Linked DNA regions of Callithrix jacchus. The main gene of each other region encodes a partner of the protein of the gene in region 5 in a complex. Links are inferred from orthologs where the notes say so. Each region holds a gene or a part of one and is shown on either strand. Other genes may lie near its edges.

Region 1 (4,634 bases), on a different chromosome or scaffold from region 5:
GGAGGGAGACAATGGGGAGAAAGGGGCAGAGAAAAGAAAATTAGGGAAAATTCATAGGCAGGAGTCTCTCAGTGAGACCTGAGAGGAGCAGAACATGCTGGCAAGCGCCCCCCACCTCCTCACCTGGGCTGTCTGCAGATACTGCAACATAAAGTACCAGAGCTGGGCTGGGGTGTCCAGCAACAGGAACTGGAAGCCAGCAGAAGTAATGCAGGGTGGCTCTCCAGGTTCAGCACTAAGGACAAAGAGCAGGACGATGATGGTGATATGCAGAGAAAGGCTACTATACCCACTTGTCCACTCATGTTTTTTCTGGGTATCTCTGGCTATATTCTACTCAGCTTGCTTTTTCCAGACGATGTCCTCTGATCTTGACCAACCCGAGATACCATTTCTCAGAGACTCAAGGAGATGGCACAGCAGCAAACTGCTGTACCTCTAACTTCCTTACCTCTTCATGAGCCCAGCTTGGCTGAGGAGCTGAGCCAAGTCCTGGCTAACAGCTGCACTGGGGGAGCCCACCATGAAGTGCAAGACCACCTGAAGAACAGAAAGAACAGGGAGACCATGCCCCGAGGGCCATAGGAGGTAGAAGCTAAGTCCCAAGTGCTTACCTCCCATCGCTCTTCAGCGTACTTGTCAAGGGAGGGAACATCCCGGGCATGCTTGTCTGGTCCCAGCTGACTTGTGTCATCAGACCAGGCCTTCCCCCTAGAGCCAGGATGGGCCAAGAGTAAGGACCTCTGACCAGGCACGGTGGCTCACACCTGTAATCCATGTACTTTGGGAGGCCGAGGAGGCAGATCACTGAGGTCAGGAGTTCGAGACCAGCCTGGCCAACATGGTGAAGCCCCATCTCTACTAAAAATACAAAAAATTAGCCAGGCATGGTGGTGGGTGCCTGTAATCCCAGCTACTCAGGAGGCTGAGGCAGGAGAATATCTTGAACCCAGAAGGTGGAGATTGCAGTGAGCCAAGATTGTGACACTGCACTCCAGCCTGGGTGACAGAGCAAGACTCTATCTCAAAAAGAAACAAAACAAAACAAAAAAAGAGTAAGGAACTCTGTCTGTGTTCCTTGCTGTCCTTCTGCCATCTTTCCACCCTTATCCTCAGGGGCCATGACTGGGGGACATTGCCTACACAACACAGCTACATCTGGTCCAACTTATTCCTAAAGGAGCTCCCCAAGGTAGAGACCACAAGGTTCCAGGGAGGCCCCCATAAGCTCCCCCTCCCAAAGTTTAATAGCAGTTTAATTAGCAGCAGTTTCCCTTCCCTAGCTTAGGAAGAGATAGAAGTGACATACCCACCCAGAAGGGCAATGCGGAGGTTCTGACGGAAAATGGGGTTGAGGATAAGGCCCTGGAGCCCGCCTGGGAGCAGCTGGGTGTGCCAGATCCGGAGGCCACTCAGCAGCCCTGTACTTTCCTCCTGAGCCCTGGAATAGAAGCAAAGAGATGAGAGGGGGTGTCTGGAGAACAAAGAGAAGGCCCATAAAAGTTACCATTCCTGCCTGTTCTGAACTTGCTGATCTTTGAACTACTGTTTCACAGAGTGAAATCAGTATCTTAAGACAAATGCCTTTACTGCATTACCTATCAGAGCCTCATTGCTGATAACACACATAACTAAGAGGGAAGATACATTTGAAAACAAGAAGTCAGCTGGGAAATAAATAAAAGGGAAAACGCAGTATGCAGCATTTCCTAAATGTATTTATTTTTAAATTTTGTGATCTATTAATATTTCCTGGAAGTGCTCCAAGAAACAGCAGTTTGGGAAATGTTGCTGTTGAGAAATCTGTATCTGGCTGAGACTTACTTGCTGAATTCCTTCTTCACCCACAGGGCTACAGCAGCTTGTGGCAAAGGCTGCTCCAGAAAGAGCATCCGCATCACCCAGTTCTTAGCCAAGGATGGGAGCTCCCTGTATAGGGATAGAGGTCAAAGGTTAATTTCAGAAGCTGCACTGTATCTGCATCTCTGCCCTCAATTACCTCTCAAACATCTCATCTCACTCCACCACAGCTTTACCAGTCCTGCTATTTTGGCCTTCCACACTTTGGAGCAATTTTCAACCCTCACCCCCAGTCCCCACCCCCAATCCAGACTGCTATGCTTTTACTCATGATATTTATTTCCAATCTGCAGACCCCATTACATTTCCTTGCCATGGGGCTCCTCACCTGAAGACAGCCAGACAAGTGGCAGGGTGCCCATACAATCGGTCCAATACCCCAGGGCTCAGGCCCCCTAAGAATTCTTGTAAATTCCTGCATTGTAGGTGTACTCGGTTCAGTCCCCTTGAAGGGGTGCTCTCCATCACCTGAGGAATGCAAACGTCAGAGGCACACCCCCACCATCCATGCCAGTGTCACCCCTGACCTTTCTAACTCTGATTCCAGATCCATGAGCCCCCACAATAATCCCACCTTTTCTGTGGCTTACTTTCCCCTGTCACTTATCTCTAGTTTCTTCCAAATCTGACCAATCTCTCTCCGTTTCTGGTCTCCTCACCCTACTTCTGCCCTTCAACTCCAGTCTTCCCTCAATTACCAAGTGACAGACTTGCTAACTGTCCTATGTTTGCAAGATAATTTTGTATTCAATGACTTGTCTCATCTTTGGCTAAACAGGGACAAAGAAAATTGAGCCCACACCTCTCTCTTCCATCTCTCCTGGTCCAGATCAGTCAATAAGCTCCAAATCTGCCCGTCCTCCCTATCGTCTATCTCTTAGCCCACTTCTGCTATGACGATAACCTCTCCCCTTCACGCTTCCCAAATCTGAAGTCACCTCTTTTCCCTTCCCATTCACGCTGACCCACGCCTTCCGATCTCCTAGATTCTCCCTGCCTTCCTCCCACACCTCGCCTCTCACTCACCTCTCTCTCTCTCACAGCTATGCCACTCCCACCCTCCTAGGTCCCCTCACCACTCTGTCCATCCTCCTCGTGCACCCCGAGTCTCGGGCAGTCGCTTAATCGGAGCCAAAGTCTCTCATTGGCTCCCGGAGATTGAGGGAAAGATGGTTAAAAAAAAAAATGCCAGGGAAAGATGGGGAAAGCGACAAAAGATTTCACAGACAAGAGCCTAGAATGGAGAATTCAGAAGAGAAGGGAGGTAAGGGAAGGAGTGGAAGAGTGAAGAGGATGAGAATAGGCGCTGCACTCTCCCGGCGCGGGGTATGCTGGGAATTGGAGTCTTGTCTTTGCTCTCCTTGGAGCCGGCTGAAGCGCGTCTGACTACAAATCCCGAAAGGCACCGTTGGGAAGCCAAAAGGAGAGGAGCTGGCTTTTAATTTAGAGAGCGGGAGATACCAGAAGTCAGGCCAGTTGGTTCCGCGAAGGCAGAAGCAACTCCGCCCACGCTGCTAACGGCGCGTCTAACCGGCCTGAACAGGAGGCGGGTCCGGGGAAAATAGAAGTTCCTGGAGGGCTTCTTGGCGGAGGCGCGCCATGGCGACTTAGTGGTGAGCCGTTTAGGGGGTAGGGGCCACAAAACTGGATTCCGTGAGCACAATTACTCCCCGTAAAATTGAGATAATACACACTCCGGGACGGGCGCGGTGACTCACGCCTGTAATCCCAGCACTTTGGGAGGCCGAGACAGGCAAATCACCCGAGGTCAGGAGTTCGAGACCAGCCTTTACAACATTGTGAAAGTCTGTCTTTACTAAAAATACAAAAATTAGCCGGGTGTGGTGGCGGGCGCCTTTAATCCCAGCTACTCAGGAAGCTGAGGCAGGAGAATCGCTTGAACCTTAGAGGCGGAGGTTGCAGTGAGCCGAAATCGTGCCATTACACTCCAGTCTGGGCGACAAAAGCTAAAGTCAAAAAAAAAGAAGAAAGAAAGAAAGAAAAGAAAGAAAGAAAGAAAGAGAAAGAAAGAAAAAGAAAGAAAGAAAGAAAGAGAAAGAGAAGAAAGTATACACATTCTGGACGGTTTCCACAAGTTAACAACACCATCCAGTGCGCCTTACTTGGCCCTAAATACTCAATAATTCTTAATTTCTGCCTCTACCATGCCTAAAACCGTTTTCTTAGAAGACCCTGATAAATACAGTTTTTAAGACATCAGCTGTTTGCTCTGATTTGATTTATGAACCTGCTACAGAGAAAGACAGAGGTCTTCACCCAAAGCCAGAACTACACATTTCCCCAAATTTCTATAAGCAAATTCCATTATTCCCACTTTATAGACTGGAAGACCGGAGCCTGGCAAGATTAAGAATTGGCCTGCAGCCTGGTGAGGTGGCTCAGAGTCATGACTACTCAGCTACTCGGGAGGCTGAGGCGGGAGGATCACCTGAGACTAGGAGCTGGAGGCTACAGTGAGCTATGATTGCGCCAGCCTAGGCGACAGGGTGAGACCCCCATCTTTCTCTCACTCTCTCTCTCTCTCTCTGAAAAGGAGTCTCTCACTCTGTTGCCCAGGCTGGAATGCAGTGGCACAATCTGGGCTCAATGCAACCTCGGCCTCCAGGGTTCAAGCTATTCTCCTGCCTCAGCCTCCTGAGTAGCTGGGACTACAGGCATGCACCACCACACCCAGCTGATTTTTGTATTTTTAGTAGAGATGGGTTTTCACCATGTTGGCCAGACTGGTGGTCTCAACTCCTGACCTCAGGTGA
Region 2 (4,771 bases), on a different chromosome or scaffold from region 5:
GTGTTATGATTATTTGTGTTCAATGACAGGTGCAGTGATGAGAGGTGATGAGGTCACGAAGAGGGGGAGCCCACCAGAGCACAGGGCTTGTAGAGTGCATGAAGGAGTAGGTATTAGGAGGGAAGCTTCTTCAAGAGAAGGCTCCTCACCTGCTTCGCACCTGGGCAGGCTCCACATCAAAGTAGGGTCTCAGGATGTCGATGTTGGCATACAAGCTGAAGGCCCTGGAGGCTTGTCTCTTCCCAGCCTGCCACATCTGAAGGAAGATGGGCATAGGTATTGTGGAACTCTTGGCATTAGACCCTGTTGCCTATTTTCCATTTGATTTCTACCAGGACAACCTGGGGCGACACACCAATACCAACTCCAGGACATGGGACACACCTAGGTTTACTTTTCCACCTGCAGGGGATTCCATCTTGCTTACCTGATCAGCCACCTGCCGGCTCAGCTGTCCCTTAAAGCCCTTCATGCCCAGGAACTCTCCATCCTCTTCTTCAGCAGCAGCCGCATCAGCGTCTGCATCAGCGTCTACTTCTTCCTCGCGCAGGCGCTGATGCAGTTCACCCATATCCTCGAAGCTAGAGCCTGAGGTATCATCCATGTTCTCCATGTCAATCACAGCTGAGCCTCCGCCCTGTTAAGACAATGGCTCCTAGAGTGCAGGACTTTTCTGTTCCATCCATTAAGTCCTCTGCTCATCCCAGGGCTTAGGGCTTTGTTCTTCCACTGCTGAGGATACGGCTTGGAATCACTACAGATCATGCCACTCCATTCCCCCTCATTTGCTCTCAGAACGCTTGATTTATAGCTTTGGCTATCTTTTCTAGCCTGGGAAACCAACTAGTCTTCCATTCATGTCTTTCTCCTACCTTACCTATCAAAGACTAAAAGCTTGAAAAAGAATCCATTTCTGTCTTTCCAAAGCCCCAAACAAAACTATGAACACAGTATGTTTTCGGCGAGTGCCAGTGAATCCCACCCAACCCCACTCCAGGCCTGACCCCAACCAACCTCCTAACTTGTTCCAAGAATACGTTCTTCCTAACGCCTCGGGCGGGCCCAGAGACCCGAGATCCTCAGGCTGGAGTAGTAGACTAGTCTGGCCCTTTCAGGTCAATGTTAACTCCACTGACTTTTGTGTGCAAGACCCAAAGAAGGCAGTTTTGCAAATGGAGTGAACTTCCAGGCCCCGAGGGAGAATCCCCAAGACACTTCTGGACATCGCCGGCCCTCGGGTTGCTGGCATCTGGTGCCTTGGGGCCATTACCTGGATGTTTTCTTCGAACCCTCCCCATTCCGGGCCAGCTCCGTTTCGGGCGCCGCCCGTCGGCGCCGCTGTAGTTGCCATGCCCTTTGAGGGCTCCCGTCGCTGAAGCCCGCGATAGCCCCGCGCGCAGGGAAGTGTGCGAGATGTGAGTCCCAAGAAGGGAGAGGTCCCAGGTCGCGGAGAGGTGGGATCAGCCGGAACACAAAAAGGAGAAACCCGGATGTTTGGACAAAACCAACTTCCGGAAATTGGGGACGTGGATGAAGGTGGAGCAAAGTCTCGCGATATTTAAGATTCCAGGAGGCGGTGCGTTGCCACGGAGATGGAGCAGTGCTGCTAGAACGCACGCGCCAGCTAGAGCCTGTAGTCTTTTGGAGAGATTGAACATGGCGGCTACTCAGGCCGTGGAAGAAATGCGGAGCCGCGTGGTTCTAGGAGAGTTTGGGGTTCGCAATGTAAGACTTGTGTCCTTGAGCTCAGGCGGGAGGAATGAGAGCGGAACAGGGATGGGTCTTGGGATTGGCGTGGGGATAGCCGTAGGCTCACTGTCCATTTGTGGACAAACTCATCCCTTTGCTCTAGGTCCATACCACTGACTTTCCCGGTAACTATTCCGGTTATGATGATGCCTGGGACCAGGAACGCTTCGAGAAGGTCAGTGGGGCCAGAGTTGTCCGGGGATTGTTAGGAGGGCCAGACCCTGTGGTCTCAGCAGCATGTGTCTGTCTCAGTAGCTGCTCTTGGGGGTCGCTCCGTTTGTAAGTTTTGTTGAGCAATGTGGTAGACCTCCGTTTACAGGCCAAGTTAGACACAGTTTCTACCCAGTTCTGCAAACAAGATGTTCAGTCTTGTTGAGGAATGGTGCGTATAAACAAGTGAATCTAGTTTAATATGGTAAAGGTGGTTGATAGCTGTGAAGATGGCAGGATTCGTGTGGGGAACATTATGCTGAGACCAGGAAGAGGGGCCCAGAGGTACTTAACATTTCTTGAGGAGGGAAGATCTGAATTGAGCTTTGAACGGTAAGTAAAGAACAGGAGTTAAATTAGGAAGGCTTTGAGTTTCAGGTCAGTGAAGTTGAGGATATACAGGTTTTGTGTGTATTTAGTCTATTATTGTTTCACTTAGCTTAAAATAAGGATTAAAATTGCATTTAAATAGATCACTGAATGTTACTGTTTATGCAACTGAACTGTGTGTGCAGTTTATAAAACATGATCTATAAATCTGTGCTTGGGAAAATTTTACTTTTTTTAACCTGTTGATACAGGAATAAAGTATGAACAATGAAAAAGGCTAATGCTTGAAAAAAAGTTATGGTGTGAATTGTGCTCCGGGAATGTCCAAGCAGTTCTGGCACTAGTGGTAGGCAAGATTGAAGTGTGTCTTGGGCACTGTTGATGATAGGGAGCTTGAATAGTTAAGCAGACATGATTAGATTTGCAACCCTGATAGCTGGGAGGGAATGAGTTTGAAGAGGATCGTATGGAGCAGGCAGATCTGTTGTAAGGGAAGCTGAGGTTGAAGGTATGAACTAAGACTGACGGTAGAAAGAGAGCAAAGGAAGAAAGAAGGTAAATTTGTGATTGCTTTGGTAAAGGCTGTTGGGGTAGCATAAAATGACTTTTTGACTTGGGAACTGCTTTGATGCATTGTGGTATCATTTACTGAGAGAAGAAATGGGTCTGGGGAAGAGGAATGATGATACGTCGTTTCCTGCATTTGGAGAAATCTAGCAGGCTAGAAGACTGCATATTTGAAATGAGATCAGAAGGGAGGTAAAATTTTGGGAGGTGTCAGCACAGATAGTTGCTAAAACCGTTGTTAGTGTGGTTAAGGTCACCTGGGAGAGAGACCAGAACCTGGTAGATTTAGAGATGGGTGGACGTTGTTGATCATCAGAGAAGGAAGAATGGAGCTCAGAAGCCAGGAGAATAGTTCAAAAAAGGAGGGGATTTTTTTTTTTTTTTTTTGAGATGGAGTCTCTGTTGCTCAGGCTGGAGTGCAGTGGCAGGATATCAGCTCACTGCAACCTCTGCCTCTTGGATTCAGGCAGCTCTCCTGTCTCAGCCTCCTGAGTAGCTGGTATTACAGGTGCACACCACCATGGCCGGCTAGTTTTTTGTATTTCTAGTAAAGATGAGGTTTCACCATGCCAGTCTCGAACTCCTGACCTCGTGATCCAACCACCTTGGCCTTCCAAAATGCTGGGATTACAGGCATGAGCCATTGCGCCTTTCCAGGAGGGGATTTTTTTAATCAATGCCAGGCGTAACAGACGTCTAGTAAAAGGACTGTCTAGTGTCAGCATGACTAAGCAGTGAGGTGGGTTTCTGTTCTTAGGACAATAGCTTCTGTGGATGGTTTGGTTGGGAGCCATATTGGATAGGGTTTTAATGAATGGAAGACAAAAAATGGACACTTTTCATGAACCTAAAGCAAGCACTGGACGAGAAAGAACATTTAATAAGGGACGTCTGGGCAAAGGGTGGTTTTTGGATGAGTGGATAATACTTGGAATCATCTGAGGGGGAGGTATGAAGAGCTATTACAAAGAGAGCAGGCTTCACTTAATCTTTTTCCTGTCCCTCTAGAATTTCCGTGTGGATGTGGTACACATGGATGAAAACTCACTGGAGTTTGACATGGTGGGAATTGATGCATCCATTGCCAATGCTTTTCGACGAATTCTGTTAGCTGAGGTATTGGCAGGCATGGTGACAAGGTTGGATTTGCTTTGGGAACTGCACTGACACTTGGAGTGTCACTTGGAGAATTAAGTGTCTCAAGCTGTCCTTCCCTTCTTATTTTTCCTGGAGTTTTGCTGGCTAAGGATTTTACCTTCTCATTCTTTGTAAACTTCTCATTAAACATTCTAGGAAGAGAGATAGCTCCCTACCTCTGGAGGTTGGAGTTTGTGGGGATAGGTAGGGGGTCTATTGGGTTTTTGCTGATAAGTGATTTTTTCCTTGGGCAGGTGCCAACTATGGCTGTGGAGAAGGTCCTGGTGTACAACAACACATCTATTGTTCAGGATGAGATCCTTGCTCACCGTCTGGGGCTCATTCCCATTCATGCTGACCCCCGTCTTTTTGAGTATCGGAACCAAGGTGAGAAAATGAAATTTTGGGAGAAGTGGACTGTCTGGGTTTAAATCCTGGTTGACTGTGACATTGGGTAAGTATATTAGTGTTTTTCATCTGTGAGAACACTTGCCCTCTCTTCCCAAGTTTGCCAAGATAATTAAATGGGAAATATGTAAAGCATTCAGCATAGTGCTGGCACTCAGATATTTACTAGTTCTTAAGAGCTCTCTCCATTGGTGCAGGAGATGAAGAAGGCACAGAGATAGATACTCTACAGTTTCGTCTTCAAGTCAGATGTACTCGGAACCCCCATGCTGCTAAAGATTCCTCTGACCCCAACGAACTGTACATGAACCACAAAGGTAAGTAGTGGTAGAGTGAGGAAGAGGGCCCACCTGTGGGTGGCTGCTAGTTT
Region 3 (4,569 bases), on a different chromosome or scaffold from region 5:
ACTATTCACTCCTTCTCATTAAAAGAAAACCAATTCAAATATCTGGGTTCTTGCTTTACTGTTCCACTCACTCACTAACCTCTTTATTTCGCCCAATCTGCCTCTTGAAGCTTAAATTACTCATCTGCAAAATGAACATTTCTATCGTCCCTGCTTTAACATTCATTCTGTTTCTACATATAAGGAAAGTATATGTGACTATGGACATCATCTTAACTAAATTAATTTAACTGCTGAATTACAAAAGTATCTCTATAGTGTTTTGTTTTTTAATCAATAATGACTCCTCAAGGCATTAGAAGGGCAATGTATTTTAAATTGGGAGCATAAATCTCAAATTGACAATACATAATGCTTTTCAGTAAACTAGATGGTGTGGTGTTCCTCAAATCAGTTACCTCTAAAAACCTTTTGCTTGGAGATCCAGAGATATATAGGTATAAATTTGCTTTCTTCTGGTACTCCTCTACTTAATGAATCATTCTTTAAGATTTTATTTTTGTGCCTTAATGAACTCACAACTTGATCACTTAACAGCTTCATAAGCACTATAGTTTAAAGAAGGGAAACGTGTATGCTTCACAAAGTATATGCCCAATGAATAATTTAGAATTGTTCACAATTTGAAAAGCACTCAAGACACGAATTTTTGAAAACTATGTGGGCACATAGGCATTATTTGAAATAAGCAATTTATAAACTAGTACCTAAAATTCTTCACTCTATTGAGTCAAAGTTTCCGTTTCTCACGAAATAGTTTAGGTTTGTCCTGATTTTTAAAAAGACAGGTATTTCAAACTTGAAAACTGGTTTATCAGAGGGCCACTAGTGGCATTATTAAGTGATTTCTTAGGAGGTTTCCTTCAAAAATGTTAATTCCCTGATGCAATGCTGAAAAATAAATTGAAATAATTTTTATACTGGATACTGTGTTAATAATATCCAAGGCGATAAAGTTCTACTTAACAGTTTTTTAAAATCCAGTTTGCACTAAGTCTCTTCCCTCTAATTACTCACGATTCCCCTACACATAAATGGTCCTATTCTGAAGCTTCAGGCACTTATCTATTTCTCTGAAAGGCCTCGTGTCTTTTAGATTTACTATAGAAAAACATAATGAAATATTAGGAGCTGTATTTCTAACCTGTTTCCTGAATATTTGAACAAAATACAACAAAAACCAAGTCCTCTGCAGCTAACACTTTGTAGAAAGCAGTTTTTTTAATTCCTGAAAATAATGCACACAGGAAAATCACTAGACTATCTGATCAAAAATTCTTTGTTTTCATATTTTGAAAATTGTAAATAAAAACGGACAGCGATTCGGATATATTTCCCCTAACAAACAAAAGAAGGTAATTCCTAGCTGCTGCTAGGAACAAAACAAAAACTTGGGGCTCTGAAAGCAGCCCCCGACAGGCGCGAAATTACAGCGTGAAAAAAGGACCTACAAATAAACTGAGCTCCGCACGCGCCTGGCTCTCGCCTCGGGAGCACGCACCTCCCAGCCCCGCTCTCAGCAGCTCTCACTATTTAAAGCCGGATCTGGTGTTTAAATGGAGAGGCGGTGACGTAGGCCTGAAAAGCACCTACCCATCCTGGCAGAGTCTATATTAGAGAGCGGCAATGGCTCTATATAAACAGGGCAGCCAAAGGGAGGAGGACCACAAAGCTCAGGGACTGAAAAGCAGGGTAAGCGGCCGCAGCCATGATGGATCGACCCGAGTCGCCAACGGTACGGTGTCGGGCGGCCGCGGGCTAGTCTGCGGCATTTGGGACCGGGCAAAAACGTGTTTTATTGTCATATAAAAATAAGAGTTGGGGGGACTAGTGATCACATTGCGTTGGTGACTGAAAAGGTTATTTATGTGACTGCTTTTTGCAAACCTACGTGATCGCAAATAACCAAAAAGGGACCAACGGGAAGAAGTAGGCAAATTTCAAGGCGAAAGCAGGGACACTTGGACCACTGTAGGCTTTTTTTGTTTGTTTTGGTGCTTTTGCTAGTCGAAGATACGATGGGGGGGGGGTTGCTTCCCCTTCGCCATTTTACCCATTCGGAAGGAACTGAGATAAGTGCTTTTCAAACAACCTTAGTCCTTTTTTTAAACATAAAATGGCCCCAGTGAAGGTTCCCAAAGCACAACTGCCAGGAAAAAACCTAAGTAACCCCCAAAAGTAGCCATTAATCCTCCACTGCATTAAAGTGGATCACGGTGGGTCTCAGGGGTTCGCCCGATTCCCCAGACACGGTTTTTGTTCTTAAGCCGCTCGGGGAGCCATCGTCTAGCCAGCGCGGACGGGCCCCTCGGGGGGAAGCGGCGGCTCCCCTCACGCCCTCCCTCCCGGGGGCCGGGTTCTGGGGCCGGGGCTGCGCGCCCGCCCGGGCCCAACCGCCTCCGCGGCCCGACCCGGCCCGCGGCGGCCCCAGGCCCCGCCGGCGCCCCCGCCCTCCCCGAGCCGCGAGCCCTCGGCGCCCCCCCGCGCCCGCCGCCCGCCGCCCCGGCCCGATCCGCCCGAGGCGGGAAGCGGCGGCGGCAGCGGCGGCGGCCGCGCGGGCGGCTGAAGAGTCGAGGCCGGGAGTCGCCGCCGTCCCCGCCCCCGCCCGGTCCGGCCGTTGCTGCCGCCTGAACGAAGCCCCCGCCGGCCACCGAACCACGTCCTTACCACGGTGTTTGTATTTGCCGAGTTCGCCATTTCCACACACAACACAAACAAGAGGGGGCAACCCCAAGAAAACAAGATAAAAACAAAACCAAAAAAAAAAAATACTAAAACACCCGAGGGTGACCCAAGTCACCGCAAGATTGGGGAAAAAAACTTAAACAAAATCAATCCTGAAGGAGTAGGGGAGAGCGGAGAGGAGGAGGAGGAGGAGGAGGGGGGCACTCCTCCCGCAGCTAAAAACCTCGAGAATCGTCTTTTTAAAAAAAAATCCACGACCCTTAAGGGGTCCGGGGGCGTTGCCCGCTCCCCACCCCGCGCCAAGGAGGGAAACCACCACCGGTCACCGCTCCCTGCGCCGCCGCTGCTGCCACCGGCTGCAGCTCCAGCCGTCCGGTCCGCTCGCTTCTCTCCTTTATATAGCGAGCCAACAAGCTGCGCGAACCGCCGCCGCCGCCGCCGCCGCTGAGAGACAGGGTGATGGGGGAGGGAGGGGTGGAAAGGGCGGGGGCAGAGGTGGGCGGGGCTGAGCGCGAGACACCGCGAGAGCCGCGTGCGCAGGCGCGTCGGGGCGGAGGCCGCCGCGAGCCGCGTCGTCACGCGCGGTGGGGGTGCTCGACTGGCGGAGCTTGGGTAGTGAAGTAGTGAAGTCGGACCTACGCCTCTCCAACTCTCGCGTGATCACGTGGTTGGCACCCAGGCGGAAGTCTGCCGCAGTTCTTTGCGGTGAAGTACTTGCAAAGCGTTTCTGGAAAAGGCGCGAGTTCTAGTGACATTCCAGTCCAAAGCTAGGTGGGACCGCCTCCTGTCGCACGTTTCCGCCCGGTCCCGCGCTGGAGGAGCTAGGAAATGAGACAAGCGGTAGCGACTGCCTCGCTAGGAATGGCCGCGGAGAACTGGTCACGTGGTGCGGCTTCCGGCCTCTGGCGGGTTCCGATTCGGGACGGTTTTAAATGCGGAGTCATCTCTTGATTTGTCAGCGAGGCTTTGACTGTGAGCCTCGGAGCGTTCGCTCCTCGCCGAGGGTGGGTCTTTCGCGGGCAGAATTATGTAGAATTTCCCAATGGGAGTAAAAGCCGATTGGGGCCCACTTTCACATTCCAGAGTTACTAACCTCTGACTTGGTTTGTTTCCACACTGGGTCCGCTACGAAGACCAGGCTTACTTAGGTTACCCAGAGATTAGTTCCCTACTAGCCCACGTACTTTAAATAATTTGTCACGGTGGTGGAAATGCGGTGCGGGGAGTAGGGGAGACAACCCCACCAGCCTTTGGATTATAACAGCACAATAACTTTCCCTGGTTTTAAAAAATACTGCCAAAATCCCACTACTCCGCATGGCCAACGTGTAGTGACTGATCACATTGAAACACATGCCCTTGACCCAAATCGCTTGGCCTCTAGTTATAAGAGAGCACGGCGGCTGTGCCCGTGTCTTGAAGTGCAATCCAATAAGCTTTTGACCTCCTCTGTCCAAACAAATCCTGCCTTTATATCAACATTACAAGCAGAACGGAGCCCCTGGAATTTTGAGGGACCTGAAATGTCATCTGGATGAGTGAAGGAGTTTGTCTTCCAAAGACAGAGCAAAACGAAAAGTTCTTTGCTGGTGAAACCAGATTTGAAGAATGTCAAAGGCATCTTACCAAAGAGAAAAAAAAAAAAAAAATGCAGCCTGCCAACACCTGAAGAAAGGGATTAGAGAAAGCAGGGGCCTTTAATACGCAGAAAATGGGAGATTATCAATGGGTGTGGAGAATATCTATGAACCTTGAGATTTATTTTCACACCAAATCCATTCCCCTCTTAACAATTACTTCCAGTTACCTGCACAGCTGCATGGTCTGGAACACTTAAAGAAAAAAAATCACAGGAAATCAGTGTTCTTAGCAATGTAAAATTGT
Region 4 (4,768 bases), on a different chromosome or scaffold from region 5:
CTAAGATCACCTATGAATAACAACTATTGTTATATTCCTTTTTTTTTTTTTTGAGACAGAGTTTCGCTCTTGTTACCCAGGCTGGAGTGCAATGGCGCGATCTTGGCTCACCGCAACCTCCGCCTCCTGGGTTCAGGCAATTCTGCCTCAGCCTCCCGAGTAGCTGGGATTACAGGCACGCGCCACCATGCCCAGCTAATTTTTTGTATTTTTAGTAGAGACGGGGTTTCACCCTGTTGACCAGGATGGTCTCGATCTCTTGACCTCGTGATCCACCCGCCTCGGCCTCCCAAAGTGCTGGGATTACAGGCGTGAGCCACGCGCCCGGCCGGGAATATAAATTAATGACATTTCTGAGGCTTCTGACTCCCCAGAACTTATGGGGTCTACCCCCTACACTAACCCACTACAGGAATTAAAAAGTTTACACCCCAGACTACTTCTGCCTCTCTCACTCCTACATTCCGAGGAGTTGGCAGTTCTTGACATTTAGTGGATGAGGAATAAATGAAACCAGACATGTCTTGTTCCCCTTCCCTCTGCGTAGCCTACAACTCCTATGCATCCCTCAGTGGCCAACTGAAACCTCCCGTCTTCTCTGAGCCCTCAGAGCCCCGCTGTGCTTCTCCTGCTCCTTCCTGGGTTGTAGATTCCCATTTTATGAGTCTCCGCCACGACACTGTAACCCGCAGAGGACAGAGAGCTGGTTTGATATATTCACCTGGCGGAGCCCGGAACCCAGCAGCGTGCTTGAGTATTTCCGAACTAGAGCAATGAATGGTTGTGCTGTGAGCATGCGCAATTGTGTTACTGCCAGGCTTGAGGGGTGTGTGCACGCCTGGAATGGGGTAGGGGAACTTGCACCTCCCTCCCGTCCTCTGCAGCCTCCTTCCCTTCCCCCCAGTAAGCCAGCCAGCCACCCCCACGACGTTACTCTTCTCCGGGGGCCTCAGAGCCCTGCCCATTTGGGGCAGCTTGGACTTGCAGAGACCCATCCCGCCAGCAGCCCTTGGGGTGGTCGCGCCCCGATTCCGGGCAGGCTCTGACCCCTCCTGGCTCGGCTCAACGTCACAAGGGTCCCCGCTCCGGTCATTTTGCGGGAATGACGGGGTCCACCCCTTCTGGGCAGGTAGAGGAAACGAACCCCAAACAGGCCCATAGGGAGCCAAGCGGCAGTTCGACTGGACCCGAGTAGGCCTCAGTTGCTATGGTGACGCGGCCTTCCAAGCCCCAAAGTCCCGAGCGGCATGACGCATGCGCAAAGCGCCTGGGAGCCCGCAAGGAGGACTAGCTTCCTTCTTCCCACCCAGGATGCCCTGCGGTCCTTGGGTGCTGACGTCACGAAGGAGGGCGGTCCCACATTTGATGACCGCACTGTACATAGGAGCATCAGCGACCAAGGCCGGTTATTTGATCTCAGACTCGGCCTTGTTGCGTCTGAAAAGGGGCAGGGGTGGCTCTTTTGAGGTGGCCATAGACGCCGAGGAACATAAGTGACGGCGCATTGAGGTAGCCACAGCCGCTTAGAAGGTTGCCATCGCGACGCGGCCGCTGGAGGGTTTAGCTTCCGGGTTAGGCGGCCGCGGAGGCGTAGACGGAATAACCTGAACGCCTCTTCCGGTTACCCTTTCCCAGTGCCAGAGGCGCCTAGGGTAGGAATCCTCACACGGGGACCGGAACAGAGACCCGACAAGGAACGGCGGCTTCCCCGAGATCGAGGGACGCGCTAGCCAGAGGAGAAGAAAGGAACCCGGGTCGGACCACGGAACCACTGACCATTGCCCATGGCGGCCCTAGTGAGTGTGGATTTGGCGGGGTTCGGGGGTCCCGGCGGCGACCTCGGCGGCACCTTACTCACCGTCCGCTTCCTCTTTCCGCAGGGCCCCAGCAGCCAGAATGTCACTGAATACGTCGTTCGAGTTCCGAAGTAAATCCCCTACCCCATCTCCCACTCCTCTCCACCCCGCAAAAGTGAAAACCTTTACGGTCCTCTTAGCCTGACGTTTCTGGCCCTGTCTGTGGTTCTCCCTCCAGACCGGGGGACTTGGAGGGCAGGGCTGCGATTAAGCTGAGGCTTCTCTGGAGGCAAACACTGCTTTTTGTATGAATGAGTGCATTAATACACAGCACGATTCAGCCTCCTGGCCTAACGTTCGAGAGCATATGATGCCCAGGCTGTCTCGTCCTCTTTCAAAGCGAGCAGGCTGCCTTTCCTTTCCAGGCCTTTGTACATCCCGTTCCCTCTGCCATGAGTGCCTCCCCTCAGCCCCCAAACGGTGACTCTGTTGGGTGAATTCTTGTTGATTCTGCAAAACTCAGCTCCAGTATCATCTTCCTCCAGGAAGCACTCCCTGACTGACCTCCCTCCTCCCCAAGGCTGAGTTCCCAATAATCTCCACATCTTGGGTTTCTCCCAATCTTTGTTCCTCCATTTGTTCTTCGTCTGCACGCAGTTAAGAGGGGATGGGGTCTAGCTTCTCTGGCAGACTGGGATTCCTGCAGTCTTCCGTATCCAGTGTTGACAGGCAAAACAGACTGAATGAACCAGGGTGGGTTTGTTGAGTGACTGAATTAATGATTCAGTGGAATGGAATGCTTGAATTAATGGTTCAGTTGAATGGAACGATCGAATTAATGATTTGATTGAATTAATGATGTGTTCACATTGATTGATTAAATTAATGATTGAATTGAATTGATGTATTGGATTGGCTCTATCTCTTCTAATCCACTCTAGGAATACAACCAAAAAATATAACATCATGGCTTTTAATGCAGCTGATAAAGTCAACTTTGCCACGTGGAATCAGGTAAGTCCCTGGGTCCTGGGGGTCGGGGGCTGGGGTGGTGAGAGAACCTGACCCTGACCTTGGTGGTTGTAATAGTTGCTTAGCTGTCATAGTAACTAAGTCTTAATTTTCTCACTTTTCCCAAGTGGAGATAAGGTAGATGACAAAGAGTTGGGTGCAGTAGTTTGTACCTGTAATCTTAGCACTTGGGAGGCCAAGGCAGGAGGCTTGCCTAAGGCCAGGAGTTCAAGACCAGCCTGGGCAATATAGCAAGACCCTATCTCTACCAAAAATAAAATAATTAGCTGGATGTGGTAGTGTGCATCTGTAGTCCTGCACAGGAGGCTGAGGTAGGAGGATCACTTGACCCCAGGAGTTGAAGGCTGCAGTGAGCTATGATTACACTACTGCACTCCAGCCTGGTGACAGAGTAAGACCTGTCTCAAAAAAAAAAAAAAAAAAAAAAAAAGATGGCAAAGGCCCAGGCCAAGCTCCTGGGTGTCCCTGTAAGTTACGTTTAGTAGGACCACAGGAGGCCATTCCTTAATGGAGAACATTTAGAAGTTGTGCCCACTGATGGCCATTTTTGCCAAGGTTTATCTGGCTGAGGGAGGGGACTGGGCTAGGGCCTTCCCCAGAGCCCCTGCCATCAGAGGCTCTAGAAAGGACTGTGGGAGCCATTAAAGCATCCTCCACGGGGAAGTTGTATTGTGATCTGGCTGCTGTGGGGAGGCAAACTGTGGGTTTGAGGGCGGATAAAGGGAGAACAGGGTGGAAGCAACTGGGCTGACTGGTCTAGGTGAGTCCTGGCCTGGGGATGTGGAGGCCGTGAAGGTGATGAGATGTGGCTGGATTCTAGAGTGTTTTGGAAATGGTACATATGGACCTTGAAGCAAGAGCTTAAGGGTAATTGGGACCTTATTGGCCACATAGGTCATGATTAATGGTTACATTTTAGAGATTTTGGTGTCTTACTGTCAACAAGTTTGGCACAATGAATTTCTTTTTATTTATTTAAATTTATTTTTTTGTGATGGTGTTTCACTTTTGTTGCCCAGGATGGAGTGCAATGGCACGACCTCAGCTCACTGCAACCTTCAACTCCCAGGTTCAAGCCATTCTCTTGCCTTAGTCTCTCATGTAGCTGGGATTACAGGTGCCCACCCCCACTCCCACCTAATTTTTGTATTTTTGGTAGAGATGGGGTTACACCATGTTGGTCAGACTGGTCTCGAACTCCTGACCTCAGGTGATCCACCCACCTTGGCCTCTGAAAGTGCTGGGATTACAGGTGTGAGCCACTGTGCCTGACCTTTTTATTTTCTTTCTTTCTTTTTTTCTTTTTTTTTTTGAGACGGAGTTTTGCTCTTGTTACCCAGGCTGGAGTGCAGCGCGATCTCGGCTCACCGCAACCTCCGCCTCCTGGGTTCAGGCAATTCTCCTGCCTCAGCCTCATGAGTAGCTGGGATTACAGGCACGTGCCACCGTGCCCAGCTAATTTTTTGCATTTTTAGTAGAGACGGGGTTTCACCATGTTGACCAGGATGGTCTCAATCTCTTGACCTCGTGATCCACCCGCCTCGGCCTCCCAAAGTGCTGGGATTACAGGCTTGAGCCACCGCGCCCGGTCGCTTTATTTTCTTTCTTTATTTTTTTGAGATGGAGTCTTGCTCTGTTGCCCAGGCTAGAGTGAAGTGGTGTGATCTGTGCTCACTGCAACCTCTGCCTCCTGGGTTCAAGCAATTCTCCTGCCTCAGCCTCCTGAGTAGCTGGGATTACAAATGTGTGCCACCACACCCAGCTAATTTTTGTATTTTTAGTAGAGACAAGGTTTCACCATGTTGGTTAGGCTGGTCTTGAACTCCTGACCTCATTATCTGTCTGCCTCAGCCTAATAGAGGTAGGGTCTCACTATATTGCCCAGGCTGGTCTTTTTTTAAATGTTTTTTAAAGACAGAGTGTCACTCTGTCACCCATGC
Region 5 (4,691 bases):
CATCCTCTTCCACGTCATCAAAGTCGTCACCATCAAAACTGTACAGGAAGAATAAATCAGTTAGTTAGAGCATCACTTACCAGAAACAAAGAGGGGCCGACCATGGTGGCTCACACCTGTAATCTTGGTACTTTGGGGGATGGAAATGGGTGGATCACTTGAGGCCAGGAGTTTGAGACCAGCCTAGCCAACATGGTGAAACCCCATCTCTACTAAGAATAGAAAAATTAGCTGGGCATGGTGGCCCATGCCTGTAATACCAGCTACTCAGGAGGCTGAGGCACGAGAATTGTTTGAACCCAGAAGGCGGAGGTTGCAGTGACCCAAGATCGTACCACTGCACTCCAGCCTGGGTAAAAGAACAAGAACCTGTCTCAAAAAAAAAAAAAAAAATCAATAAGTGCAAAGATATATGTCTCGCCCACTATATAGGAAGCACTCAATAAATATCTACTTAATAAGGATCAGCCGGGCATGGTGGCTCACACCTATAACCCCAGCACTTTGGGAGGCTGAGGCAGGTGGATCACTTGAGGTCAAGAGTTCGAGACCAGCCTAGCCAACATGGAAAAATCCCATCTCTGCTAAAAATACCAAAAATGGGCTGGGCGCGGTAGCTCAAGCCTGTAATCCCAGCACTTTGGGAGGCCAAGGTGGGTGGATCACGAAGTCAAGAGATCGAGACCATCCTGGTCAACATGGTGAAACCCCGTCTCTACTAAAAAAATACAAAAAATTAGCTGGGCATAGTGGCGGGTGCCTGTAATCCCAGCTACTCAGGAGGCTGCGGCAGGAGAATTGCCTGAACCCAGAAGGCGGAGGTTGCAGTGAGCCGAGATCTCGCCATTGCACTCCAGCCTGGGTAACAAGAGCGAAACTCCGTCTCAAAAAAAAAAAAACAAAACAAAACAAAAATGAGCCAGGTGTGGTTGGTGCCTGTAATGCCAGCTACTCAGGAGGCTGAGGCACGAGAATCACTTGAACCTGGGAGGCAGAGCTTGCAATGAGCTGAGGTCACACCATTGCACTCCAACTTGGGCAACAGAGTGACACTCCTTCTCAAAATAATAATAATAATAAGTAAATCAGACTTTTGTTCCATTTTACTCCTTCAATCTTTCCCCATCTGCCCCCAGATTTTGTTAGGACTCATTCATCATCGCTGTTTGCCTCTCTACTGGATCATTCTCATCAGCCTTTTTTTTATTTTTTTTTTAAGACAGAGTCTTACTCTGTCACCCAAGCTGGAGTGAAGTGGCGCAATCTCGGCTCACTGCAACCTCCGCCTCCTGGGTTCAAGCAATCCTCCTGTCTCAGCCCCCCGCGTAGCTGGGATTACAGGCATACACCACCATGCCCAGGTAATTTTTGTTTTGAGACGGAGTTTCGCTCTTGTTACCCAGTCTGGAGTGTAATGGTGCGATCTCGGCTCACTGCAACCTCCACCTCCTGGGTTCAGGCAATTCTCCTGCCTCAGCCCCCCGCGTAGCTGGGATTACAGGCATACACCACCATGCCCAGCTAATTTTTTGTATTTTTAGTAGAGACGGGGTTTCACCATGTTGACCAGGATGGTCTCCATCTCTTGACCTCGTGATCCACCTGCCTCAGCCTCCCAAAGTGCTGGGATTACAGGCTTGAGCCACCGCACCCGGCCAATTTTTGTATTTTTAGTAACGAAAGGGTTTCACCATGTTGACCAAGCTGGTCTTGAACTCCTAACCTCAGGTGATCCACCCTCCTTGGCCTCCCAAAGTGTTGGGATTAAAGGTGTGAGCCACCACTCGGCCCATCAGTATTTCAACATGTGCTTTTCCTCAACTAAAAAAAAAAAAAAAAACCCTTCCTTCTCTTCTCCCTCCCCCTACAGCCCTAATTCCATAGTGCCCTTTGAAGCAAAAATAAGTGAAAGAGCTGTCCCTCACTGTCTACAATTCCTCTCTTCCCATCCTGTCATAATCCCACTCCAAAAAGCCTTTCACACCAAGAGCTCCATCAAAACCCCTCTTCCCAAGTTCATTAATGATCTCCACGTTGCTAAATCCAATGGCCAATTCTCAATCTCATTTAGCCTGATCTACCAGCTGACACATTAGGCCACTCGCTCTCCTCACTTGACTCCAACGACACCTCACTCTCTTGGTGTTCCCCCACCTCCCTGGCTTCTCTTTTCCTCCAAGCACTCAACGTTTGAATGCCCGAACGCTCAGCCACGGGTCATCTCCTTTTCTCTACTGACACTGAGAATGTTGTAGCAATCCCACACGTTTCTTATTTTTATCTTCACACTAAATCTCTTTGTGCCCACACATCCAACAGGTAATTTTTTTGGCTCTACTTTTAAAATAATAATATATCCAGAATTCAAAACCACTTCTCACCACCTCTGCTCCTACCACCCTACCACAAGCTACTGACTTTCACCTAGATTACTGCAACCAGGCCGGGCACAGTGGCTCACACCTGTAATCCCAGCACTTTGGGAAGCTGAGACGGGTGGATCACTTGAGGTCAGGAGTTCGAGACCAGTCTGGCCAGCATGGTGAAACCCCATCTCTGCTAAAAACAAAACAGCCAGATGTGGTGGCACATGCCTGTAATCCCAGCTACTCGGGAGGCTGAGGCAAGAGAATCCCTCCTTGAACCTGGGCGGCAGAGGCTGCAGTGAGCTGAGATCGCGCCACTGCACTACAGAGCCTGGGCGACAGAGCAAGACTCCGTCTAAAAAAAAAATAAAAATAAGATTACTGCAACCAACCCTTCCAGACTTGTATTTAATGCCACCGGTGGAGCTGCCCCAGACCCTTCTCTGGAGAACTCCTATATTACATACTTCTAGAACTGGAGAAGCTCACGCGACTCCCATGACCTGTTTACTTACTTATGGGCCTGTGCCCCCTGTTCTAGAAAGCGAGCACGTGGAGGGCAGGGACGATTCCTCATTCACCTCAATATTCCCATGACACAGAGCCCGGCTCACCGAAAGACACCTTTCCTACGGATCCTATCCGGACCCTCGAGCCAGGAGCTTCCCGTGCCCGGTCTCCGGTCGGGCCGATGCTCCTGGGTCCCCGCCCTTTCCTTCCCCGGCACCGCCTGCCCCCTCAGGCCGCCAATCCCCTCAGACGTTGCCCCTCGACGCCAGGCTCCTCAGCCGCCTTCGACCCACGCCTTGCCTCATCTGCCCCTTCTGAGGTTGCCGCAAAGGCCACTTGGCTCTCGCACTCACTTGTCCTCGTTGTCTGACATGACACCCTAGTCTCTGCGACGCCGCTGCTCCCCAGTGCCGCGCGGAGACCCGCAAACGGCTCCACTACGACTCGCGCGGCGCCACGATTATCCTGCGCTTGCGCGGTAACCCAGAGGCATCACTTCCGGGAGGCAGGACGGCGCGAGAGAGAAAGGGCGCATGCGTTGACTCGTGGGCGCGTTACCATGGTAGCCACGGTAGCCACAGTTGTTAGTTGCCAGCTCTAGCAGCCCAGATCGCGTAGGATTTCTACGTGGCACCGGTGCGGCTGCGGCTGTAAAGCAGTGGTCACCGCCTCCGAGAGCTCACCTCTATGTGGAGAAGGGAGCACCCAGAGGAGGTCTTAGGGTGAAATTTCAATTTTGGCATATCTCTCAGTGGGTACTGTTCTGATCTGGCTATGTTAACACTGCCTTCCTCCCGAGGGGACTTCCCTGCCACAGGCGCTGGGTCAGAATGAGGACTCTGTGTGTGTATCTGTCTGTGTCCGGATGGGAGGTTTGGGCACTGTCTCGATATTAAATGGCGGCATCACGATTCTCTGGCTGGATCCCCGCTTCCAGACTTCTAGGGTGGTGGGCGTGGGGAAGAGGAAATTAGGGATAGGAGACAGAGGGTGTGTCTTTGCATCCTTCCCTCCTCAGGGTCCTTGCATGGCTTCACAGAAGATAGAAGTAGTGACCAAAGCAACGGGGTTCCGGCGCCGCCCCAAGAAGACCACTTACACCCCGGGGACCTGCGAGCTGCTCGAAGGTCAGTGCTTTAAAGCAGCGATCCCCAGCCTTTTTGGCACCAGGGACCGCTGTCGTGGAAGACAAGAACGGTTTCGGGATGAAACTGTTCCACCTCAGATCATCAGGCATTCCTTAGATTCTCATAAGGAGCCTGCAACCTAGATCCCACGCGTGCGCAGTTCACAATAGGGTTCACGCTCCTATGAGAATCTAAGGCTGCCACTGACCTGAAAGGAGGCGGTGACGCTCGCTAGCCCGCTGCTCACCTCCTGCTGTGCGGCCCTGTTCCTAACAGGCCAGGGACTGGTGTCAGTCCAGGAACGGGGGACGGGGCAGGTGGGGGACGGGTGGAAACCCGAGTTAAAGGATGAGAAAAGAATGATGGTAGTTACCCTCTGTAACTCAGTTCTCCCCTACCTGACCTGTGGCTTAGCAATTATTGCTATTTTCCTTTACAGATAAGGAGCCTGGGGTTCAGGAAGCTTCCAAGTTCTACTGCATATACCTTAGTGGGCAGGAGCGGGGGAGGGAGGGAAGGTTCAAGGTGCTACAGCTTGCCAAAAGTCAACTAACATTTTTAGAGTAATTAATTCCTATGCATGCTTTAGATCACACTTTCAACTTTCCCGGGAAGACCTGTCTCCTCCTTACCACCACAGTAGGCTCGACTGTTGTGTGCCCGCACACATTTTCCTTCACTGGGCTCA

What was found. Proteins that work in one complex are often made in the same cells at the same time.
Region 1: POLR2F (region 5) and GTF2H4 share a complex: the UniProt entries of both Homo sapiens proteins name them as parts of the TBP-based Pol II pre-initiation complex. The link is inferred for Callithrix jacchus from reciprocal best matches to the Homo sapiens genes POLR2F and GTF2H4.
Region 2: POLR2F (region 5) and POLR1C share a complex: the UniProt entries of both Homo sapiens proteins name them as parts of the pol I pre-initiation complex. The link is inferred for Callithrix jacchus from reciprocal best matches to the Homo sapiens genes POLR2F and POLR1C.
Region 3: POLR2F (region 5) and GTF2A1 share a complex: the UniProt entries of both Homo sapiens proteins name them as parts of the TBP-based Pol II pre-initiation complex. The link is inferred for Callithrix jacchus from reciprocal best matches to the Homo sapiens genes POLR2F and GTF2A1.
Region 4: POLR2F (region 5) and GTF2F1 share a complex: the UniProt entries of both Homo sapiens proteins name them as parts of the TBP-based Pol II pre-initiation complex. The link is inferred for Callithrix jacchus from reciprocal best matches to the Homo sapiens genes POLR2F and GTF2F1.

Annotation. Positions count from the first base shown.
Region 1 is NC_133505.1:35,701,896-35,706,529, reverse strand, and holds the start of GTF2H4 (general transcription factor IIH subunit 4), read right to left. Parts: upstream 3,139-4,634; 5' UTR 2,949-3,138; coding exon 2,937-2,948; exon of another isoform or gene 2,799-2,936; intron 2,329-2,798; coding exon 2,189-2,328; intron 1,930-2,188; coding exon 1,825-1,929; intron 1,442-1,824; coding exon 1,310-1,441; intron 712-1,309; coding exon 615-711; intron 541-614; coding exon 452-540; intron 236-451; coding exon 124-235; intron 1-123. UniProt on the Homo sapiens protein: Component of the general transcription and DNA repair factor IIH (TFIIH) core complex, which is involved in general and transcription-coupled nucleotide excision repair (NER) of damaged DNA and, when complexed to CAK, in RNA transcription by RNA polymerase II.
Region 2 is NC_133505.1:51,998,309-52,003,079, forward strand, and holds the start of POLR1C (DNA-directed RNA polymerases I and III subunit RPAC1), read left to right. Parts: upstream 1-1,633; 5' UTR 1,634-1,656; coding exon 1,657-1,725; intron 1,726-1,852; coding exon 1,853-1,924; intron 1,925-3,864; coding exon 3,865-3,972; intron 3,973-4,247; coding exon 4,248-4,380; intron 4,381-4,598; coding exon 4,599-4,718; intron 4,719-4,771. Other genes in the region: protein YIPF3, read right to left, coding at 150-256, 428-637, 1,271-1,351. UniProt on the Homo sapiens protein: DNA-dependent RNA polymerase catalyzes the transcription of DNA into RNA using the four ribonucleoside triphosphates as substrates.
Region 3 is NC_133509.1:116,181,933-116,186,501, forward strand, and holds the start of GTF2A1 (transcription initiation factor IIA subunit 1), read right to left. Parts: upstream 3,139-4,569; 5' UTR 2,698-3,138; coding exon 2,668-2,697; intron 1,736-2,667; exon of another isoform or gene 1,662-1,735; intron 892-1,661; exon of another isoform or gene 708-891; intron 1-707. UniProt on the Homo sapiens protein: TFIIA is a component of the transcription machinery of RNA polymerase II and plays an important role in transcriptional activation. TFIIA in a complex with TBP mediates transcriptional activity.
Region 4 is NC_133523.1:6,030,865-6,035,632, reverse strand, and holds the start of GTF2F1 (general transcription factor IIF subunit 1), read left to right. Parts: upstream 1-1,630; 5' UTR 1,631-1,784; coding exon 1,785-1,796; intron 1,797-1,880; coding exon 1,881-1,927; intron 1,928-2,737; coding exon 2,738-2,810; intron 2,811-4,768. UniProt on the Homo sapiens protein: TFIIF is a general transcription initiation factor that binds to RNA polymerase II and helps to recruit it to the initiation complex in collaboration with TFIIB. It promotes transcription elongation.
Region 5 is NC_133502.1:208,954,776-208,959,466, reverse strand, and holds the start of POLR2F (DNA-directed RNA polymerases I, II, and III subunit RPABC2), read right to left. Parts: upstream 3,099-4,691; 5' UTR 2,944-3,098; coding exon 2,882-2,943; intron 39-2,881; coding exon 1-38. Other genes in the region: C1H22orf23 (UPF0193 protein EVG1), read left to right, coding at 3,904-4,003. UniProt on the Homo sapiens protein: DNA-dependent RNA polymerase catalyzes the transcription of DNA into RNA using the four ribonucleoside triphosphates as substrates.